Linked DNA regions of Sus scrofa. The protein of the gene in region 1 interacts with the protein of each later gene in a biochemical or structural test. Links are inferred from orthologs where the notes say so. Each region holds a gene or a part of one and is shown on either strand. Other genes may lie near its edges.

The links. The genes of interacting proteins can lie anywhere in the genome.
Region 2: the proteins of NFYA (region 1) and ZHX1 form a complex in vitro, tested with the Homo sapiens proteins (2 studies listed by BioGRID). The link is inferred for Sus scrofa from reciprocal best matches to the Homo sapiens genes NFYA and ZHX1.

What each region holds. Positions count from the first base shown.
Region 1 is NC_010449.5:36,403,254-36,407,500, reverse strand, and holds the end of NFYA (nuclear transcription factor Y subunit alpha), read right to left. Parts: intron 4,190-4,247; coding exon 4,016-4,189; intron 3,255-4,015; coding exon 3,153-3,254; intron 655-3,152; coding exon 601-654; 3' UTR 52-600; downstream 1-51. UniProt on the Homo sapiens protein: Component of the sequence-specific heterotrimeric transcription factor (NF-Y) which specifically recognizes a 5'-CCAAT-3' box motif found in the promoters of its target genes.
Region 2 is NC_010446.5:16,099,878-16,104,114, reverse strand, and holds the start of ZHX1 (zinc fingers and homeoboxes protein 1), read right to left. Parts: upstream 3,336-4,237; 5' UTR 2,924-3,335; intron 2,371-2,923; exon of another isoform or gene 2,172-2,370; intron 1-2,171. UniProt on the Homo sapiens protein: Acts as a transcriptional repressor. Increases DNMT3B-mediated repressive transcriptional activity when DNMT3B is tethered to DNA. May link molecule between DNMT3B and other co-repressor proteins.

The DNA.
Region 1 (4,247 bases):
CCAACCTATCATCCGGGTGGACAGAAATTCTTATTATTACCACAGATTAGATGAATGTATCTCAGAGAATTTATTGTTTCCATATCATGAGATGGAGCTTCCTTGCCTGGAAACCATCTCTGAATACAAAGTGTTCATTAGTCAGCCTGAGATCCCCCAGCAGAGGGACGGGTGCTGTTCAGAATCCTTGGGAAAGGAGTGGGCTGCAGCTTCCCTGATTGCAGTTTAGGTTGAGAAGGTCATTCTCCTCTGCGGAGACGGCTGGCTGGCATCACCAGGCAACATAAGTGCTATGTGTGGTACTGCTAGGCTGGCATGGCTCCCTTGCATCATCCCAATCCATGAAATGTCAATGTCACCCACAGTCTGAAGGAAGTCCTGACTGAAAGGGCGAGACAAAGGCTTGCAACTTCAATTTGCCAGATATCACTGCAATTATAATACTGAACCACTTATTAAAAACTAAGTGGTTTCTGTCCTGTAGAAAAGGGCAGAATGTGATCGTCAGTGTCCCGTCGGAAGAGTTGATCAGTTTCCTTGGAACAGTGGGAAACGGTGTGAGGAACATGACCTTGATCAGCTCCATCACATGGCCTGGGGTTAGGACACTCGGATGATCTGTGTCATAGCCTCTTCATCTGCTTGATTTGGATCCTACAAAGAAATAAGTGTAATGATTACAGTCCTTTGCAAAAGCATCTGGGAACTCACTGCTCTCGGTACTTATCACCAAGAGAATACACAGACTTTGCTAAGTTAGCCAAAGGCCTGTAATACATCTAAGCCTGCATACATGGTTTTAAATGCAGCTCTATTAGCAAAGAAGAGACAACAAACCTTATTCTTAAAAAGATTCCAAGTCTGGACTGGCACTGCATTGCTCAACACCTCAGAGTTCAGAGAGTATCTCTTTCCTAAGCAACTGTGTTATGTTCTGCTCTTAAGGATTAAAGGTCCTTAGGCAGTTAAGAAAAAGACCCAGAGAAACCAAGTCATCCTGTATTTTTGTGCCATTATTTCCTGATCATCATATTTAAATACAAGCACTTAGCAGGGCTGGAAAGAACGTTGGAATTTACTTACTTTAATGCACTCCTTTTGTAGATAAACCTGAAGCCTGGATGTGTAAAGTGATTTGCCTGGACTAGAGTCAAAAAGTTAGTGAGGAACCCAGCAAGAACAAACTCCCAAATCTCTTGATTCCCTTTCAATCTTCTTTCCACTAAACTCTGCCTGCCTCTTACTTAAAACCTGCAGTGTCAGGACAAGGATCAGTCCTGGGAAGCTCTATGCAACACTCCAAAATAACCACTTTCAGTTCCCCCACATCAAGGCTCTGTGAAGCCTCAACTGGCATGATCCAAGAAAAAGTTGAAACATTTCTGGAGGTGGACAGATCAGAGGCTTTGAGCAAGAATAATAACTACCATTTACTGAGCTCTCACCATGTACTAGGCACTGGGCTAGGGAGGTGCCTAATGTTAACTTTTTGCATGATATCCCACTATTCTGTTACATTATCAACAGCAGTCCACTTTACAGGTGAAGAAAGTGAGGCTAAAAGAGGCTAAATTAATAGTTTGAGATCTGCTGCAGAAAGAAATGAGGAACTAGCATGCATCCCTGAGCAGGGGACTGCGATGATTAAGAAAGCACTATCTTATAAAGAGCAATCTGAAAATAGTGTAGATGGGATGTGATGGCACACAGAACCACGTACCAGTAAATGGGAGAAACCCATTAATTCAACAAACATTTACTGAATGGGCATTACACTAAATACAATCTGAAACAACAATCCTCTACTCTCTACACAGCTTAGTCTAGTGAAGGAGACAACTACTGACTACTGCACAATCACACAAATAAAACAATATAATTATTATCGTGCTCAAAAGAAAAGGAAGCTGTGAGGAAATTATAGGGTAAAGACAGCCACTCTGGATATGGCCTCTTAGATTTAAACCAAGACCTAGAAGATAAGGAGACAGCCATGCAAAAAAGATGGCGTGAAAAGCTCTACAGACCAGCTATTTAAAAAAAAAAAAAAGGTCCCAGTGCAGGAGACAGACCGACAAACACTATAGCAAGAGCATAAAGACCAAGCGCAGGAGGGAACAGAGCCAGAGGTGGGCAGGAGTGGATAATGAAGAGCCTTGCTGGCCATGGTAAATAAATACTACGACTTTTAACTTAAGTTCAAACAGAAAGGGTGAGAGTGGAAGAGGTTTAAGCAAGACAGTGATGTGATATATGATATATACTTAGAAAGACTGCACTAAGATGTGGAGAATGAACTAGAGGGTACAGGAGGGGAAAAAGGGAGACTAGGCAGCTGTTGTATTAAGTAAAGCAAAGAAGAGAGGGTTAGACTAGGCTGATGGCAGGTGGGAAGGCAAGAAGCTGATTTAGATTATATTTTAGTTAAAACCAAGAGAACTTTAAGAACTGGACAATTCTACCTTTAATAACTGGGTGAATGGACATGTCACTTGTTGAGGTGAGTGTCTGGTGAAGGCATTAAAAAAAAAAAAACAAAACACACACACACACACACACACACACACACACACACAAATCAAGAGTTCTATTTTGGATATACTGACTCAGAAATGCCATTAAGGTACAATTAGTGGAATGAGATGTAAGAACCAGTATGGTTACAGAGTAAACAAGTTCTGGAATTATACTGTCTGGGTCTGAGTTTCAGTTGCACCATTTTATTAAATATTTTACCTTAGCAAACTACTTAACCTCTCTAAACCTCAGATTCAAATATAAAATGCAAACTATAACTCTTACCTCATGTTACATTCAATGAAAAAGATGCTTATAAAAATGCTTAATGGTGGACACACTGCAATTAAGTGTTAGCTGCTGCTGCTGCCTACTACACTAAGAAACCCAAACTAGTTCTTTGAAAATCAAGTGATTCCAGAGGAATTAATAGTAATAACAGGCAAAGACTGGGAGGAAAAGAGGCCAGTGGTTTAAAGACCTTAGTTCTTTTAAGATGAGAAGGAATCCAAGATACATAATGTTGTATCCAATTTAGAGAGGAGTGTGAAAATATCAAGAAGACACTGTGAAGGCTTCCACCCAAGAAAATATAAAGCAGTAAAGAGAAGGATAAAAGGTATAAATTGTCCTACCTGCATATGGGGACTGTCTTTTTCCTTTGGAGAGAAAAATCGTCCACCTTCACCACGCTTCCGGGCCATGGCATGACGGTGCCGAGACTCATGCAGGTATTTCTAAAACAAGGAAGAAAATTATTAGCTGAAACCAGCACAGTTATCCAACGCACACATTCCATCCTCAAAAGTTTAGGACAGCTATGATCTAAGTGACCAGGGGGAATTATGGCATTGTATTATGGAGAAACATTCAGAGAAAACAGAAAAGCAGTTAACCTTATGCAACTATCATAAGAATGTAAATGCTAAATGAATAATAACTAAAAAAAGATTCCCTAAATATATGAGATTGCTACCTACTGCCCAATATATATTCTCTTTCACTTGAGTAACAACCCAAATTTTAGTTGGCTGCTCAGTAAAAAGTCTGTTTTCCCTAATCCGATTTGTAGGTAAGCGGCCACTGAATTTGGGCTAATAAGATGTATGGAACTTCCTGAATGCTGAATGTCATAAGACTGCCTTTCTAGTTCCCTTTGCTCCTAGGCTAGAGCCCAGGCAGTTACCTTGGACTATGGGTGGACAGTAAAATAGGAGGAGAATGGGTCTGGAAATGTGCTACCAGTCCAAGACAATTTATCTCTGGACTTCTTTTATGTAAGGAAAAAAAAAATCCTATTTACACCACAGGATTGTTTGTTTGTTTTTTTAAATATTGTAGTTGCCGCTATATCTAGAAATAATAAATGCTTTTACAAAAGATAACAGCTATCTAACTTCAATGTCTGGAAGGTACTGGAACCAAACCCTCTAAGGTTTGGTTTCAAAAGTAGAACCCTGCCATTCTTGTCCTACATCCTTCCCAGTGTTACACGTACCCTTCTTTCCTTTGGAATTTTCCCTTCTGCCTCTAATTTAGCCCGGGCTTGCCTCCTCTTAAGAATACGGTGGTACTGTTTGGCATTCACATAGAGAGGCTCTTCTTCAAGCATCTCTGCCCCGGGAAGAGGGATTCTTTGGATAGCAGGCACAGAGCCAGCACCAGGTACCATCTGAGTGGAGAAAAAAATCAGAGCTCATCAAATCCTGGCATGAAATATGGACATGGGA
Region 2 (4,237 bases), on another chromosome or scaffold:
GAAATAACATAGGACGATTTAAAAGGATTTTGAGTTAGAAAAAATTGCCATGTAAAAGTGAATGTGGCTATTACCACAAGTAGTGCAACAGATATTTCCGGACTCCTCCCTGAACAGATTGAATATGATATTAGGTTAAAAACTAGCTTAGGCACTGAACTGTTCATCATTGTTAGTATTCAAATAAGTACAGTCTTTTGAGCCCAAATCTACAATGCTGCAATGCACATAAAAAGGTTATTTCCTCAGCTATACTTGTAATCATTTTAGCAATTTTAAGAGCATTCCATTTAAGTATAAAGAGATAATTTAAAGCAAACCAAGTTCCAAATATCACATTTTTGTGCCCATGTAGCAAGAAAGAAAATGTATAGTGCATCATAACATCACCTTTCAGTCTCAATGTGAAATATAGAAACAAAATGAGCCACCCCACCATGCTATCAAGTTCATTCATAAACTGTAAAACTTTTTTTCATACTTAATGGAAAAAAGAACTTATAATACAAGTATCATTAAAGGTGAAACAACTGCCACAACGTTCATGAATTGTTCTCCAATCCAGTGAAATAATCAGCTCAGCTCACTATAAGGGAGCGACATCTACTAATGAGTTTTCACCAGCACAGGCACTTTATGTTTTCAGCCTTAGCATATTTTCAAACCATCTGGCATCAATGCCTTTCTGGTTCACCCAGCCTAATCTGTTCAGAATTGAATATAAAACTAGACCTACGTGCACTTTGGGGAAACCAAAGAACAGCATACATGAATAATAATGTTCCAAACAGCAGCTCTAAACTAGTTTATACTTGAAATGTGTTTTTTAAAATATTTCTATTGAAGACATTAAAGCTCTTTTTAAAAATACTAGAATGGTTCAAGAAATCTGTATGAGTCATAGCTGTCATGGGTTACCCAAATCTCACTTTCTTTTTTTCTTATTTTAATCTGATCACTAAATAAACCATTTGAAAAGATCCTTCCACAAAAGTCATTGATAAAAATGCTACCATTTCTATACTGAAAGGATCCAAAGTTTTACATCTTATTTTTCCCAAAATTAGTCTGCTTAGCCCTAAAACACTTAGAGTACGGAGGGAAAAACTAAGAGGGAAAAATATTCACGAAAGCCTTTTTTCTTTTATATCCTGTTACAGCATTATTGTTCTTGGCAGCTCTCACATTTCTTTTGCTTAAAAATCAAGAGTCAGAATTGCTACTTAAGAAATTGTTTAAAAAGCTATCGATATTCTAGGGCCAATATCCCTGTTAAAACCAAATCTGCTCATCCTCACTGCTGGCATAAAAAACAAACGACTTTTTCAGGATAATTTTTTAGAAGCAGGGATAATTCACGTAGCACCATATAACACAAGTTAAAGCTTCCAGACAAAGGCTGAGAAACAAGGACCAAGATCAGCAAATCTTAAGGTTAATTCATGTAGGTCATGTACACACATACACTCCAACCCAGTGAATAGTCACAATTCCTGGGAGAAAGCTGCTTCTTCCTCCCTAACTGTGAACCACTCTATTTCCCAATCTTGTGATTTTCCCTTTTCTGCCCTCCTCTTACTCTCCAAGACAATTGCATCTTCCTTTCAAGTTACATGGAATCCCAACCTAATCACATTATAAATTCTCAGTTACCTTTCCTGACATTTCCCCCCACCCCCCGCAAAGATTAGCCTCTTCGCACGTTTTTCTTTAGAGCTGGGGTGAAATGATAGAAAAGCGCTGTGGAATTCCCGCTCTTCCCAGTCTCTTCCCCCATCCCTCCTCTATCCATCCCCTTTCCCGCTTCCTAATTCTTCTACCCCAGGGCCAGGGAGCTTGATCCTAAACTAAGGATATCAAAGGGAACCTTTTTTTTCTCCCGGGTTTTGCATTTTCTTTGCTGTTACCCACGGAGGGGAGAGCTGGGATGTCGAATTGAAACAAAGAATTTCAAGTCCCTTTCCCTAGAACTTTGGAGTAAACACACACACGGAAAGGGCATCAGCCAGGGCTCTTCTTTCCTACCATGAGACCCCCTTCCTCTCACAGCTCCCTCCTAGCCCTTCACTCCTCGGAAAGATCTGGAAACCGTTCCCTTTAGGCCCTAAGGCTTGGAGCGGTCCCCAGTCAGCCTCCTCATCTTCCTCCTTAAAGGGACAGATAATATTTACATTTTCTTGAATCAACTTCTCCCAAAGTTCCAGGGCTTCTTCAAAACCTTATATAGTTCTTAAGGTCTCAACTCTGAGACTCGCCCCGAAATGGGTGCCCAGCCTCTCCTGAAGTGGAGGTACAGCCTTTCCCAGACGGGTTTCTCCGAGCTCCAACCGCAATGCCAGTGCGCTCAGCTCCAGCAAGAGATGACTCCCCAGACTCTCAGGGAGACCGAGTCCCCACGAGGCCACACGCCCCCGCAGGGCAGGGCCCGGCTCCCGATCTCCTCCCCAGGGACCCTCGACATTGCTGGTGCGCTCCGTCCCTGCGGCCCCCGCCCCCCCCCTTCTAAGGGAGACCCGGTCCTCACTCCCTTCAATAATCTCAAGTTGCTCGGTCCTCTCGTAGCCGCGGGGGAGGAGAGGGGTGCTGAGATTTCCCCGTACAAGCCCACCCTCAGCCCCTTCCGCGGCCGCAGAGACCCGAGAACGCAAAAGAGGCTCAGGGTCTGTCCCCCGTCGGCGATCCGGCCCAGGCAGGCCAGGTCCCTCCCCCTCGGAAGCCCCGAGCCGGTCAGCCTGGCCACTCGCGGCGCGGAGCGCGCTCAGCCCCCCGGGGTCTCTGCCCTCGGGCCGCCCTCGTCCAACCAGCCCGCGCGCCGCGCGCCTTCCCGGCCCGCCGCACTGGCCGCGGGCTCTGCGCCGCGGGTTCCTACCCGCAGCCCCGGATGCCCGGGGCCGCTCGTCGCGAAGCCCGCTCGCACCGCTACCTGCAGGGGCCGCCGCGCCTCTCAGCGCCCCGCCGCCGCCATCTTGCATTTCAAACCGGCTGCACTTTTCAAGGAGTCAACTCTGACCTGTGAACCCTACACCCGGAACCGCTCGGCGGTCCGGCTCACGGCTTCAGCAGATCCGCAGACTCGGTGGAACGTAAAGTCTGGGGTGGGGGTGCTAGGCCAGGCGCGCGCCCCAGCGGCCGACCCGGGGCGAGAGCGGGGGAGGGGAAGAGCCGGCCGAGGCGGGGCCCTCCCGCGCGCGCGCGCCCTCCGCGCGCCCCCACCCCGCTCTGCGCCACGCTTTCCACTCGCAGACCCTGCTTCTCCCCTGGGGTTCGACCCTGGCCTCCACCCCCGGATTGGCGCAGGGCGAGAGGTAGGGGGCCGCCCCGCCCCTCTGTCAACAGAAGCCCCGCCTTTTCCAAGTCTCGAAGCGGCCACGCCCCTTGCTGGTGTTAGCTCCGCCCGCTATCGGTAGAAGCCTTTTCTTCACTCAGGTCAATCCAGAAGGCAGCCCCGCCTTCTGTCAGTTGTGGCCCCGCCCCCGGGCGCTCCTTCTTCCTAAAGTCACCGCTGGATCCTGAGAAACGCCCCTTGTCATAAGTCCCATTTGGTGGCAGTACTGTCCAAGCCCGCCCCTTTCGTCGGGAGCCCCTCCTACTGTCAATAGAAGTCGGGTCTTTCTGAAACCCTTCGGGATTCTAGCCCGAAGCTCCACCCCCTGTCAGCTGCTGCCCTGCCACCTCTTGCCTCCAACTCCAACATCAAAAGCCGTCCCTCCACCCGCTGATACCAAAAGTTCGATCCAACCTCACTTTGAACCGCGGGGCAAGACGGAGCCACCCTTTGCTCCCCGAAAGCCCTCCCTCTCCCCCTCACGAGTCACTCTTGTGGGGGGCTTTCTTTTCAAGCCGTGGTCGTCAAATACTGAACAGCTTCAATGCGAACCAGCCCTGCAAAGGAGGCCGGCTAAGGACCCAGGCTTTGGGAAAAACTACCCTCCCCATTTCTCTTCGTCCCTTCTCCCCTCCCCACATCATTTTTTACAAGGAAAAAAGTACAGACCAAAGCAAAGGGAAACAAATCACCTTCCAGGCTACTCTTCACAGAATCTCCGGCCAGGACCTGTGGGAACTTTCCGGCGCCTTGATGTTCGTTCCCCGCCCCCACCCCGGGCATGGACCCTCTGCGCTTTAACAGCAGCGCTCCACTGAGCCACATTAATCCTAAAACATGCAGTTGCTTAAAGTGAAAGCCTGATGGTTGAAATCAGTGCACATCGGCTTCTTTTATTTGTTTGTTTTATCT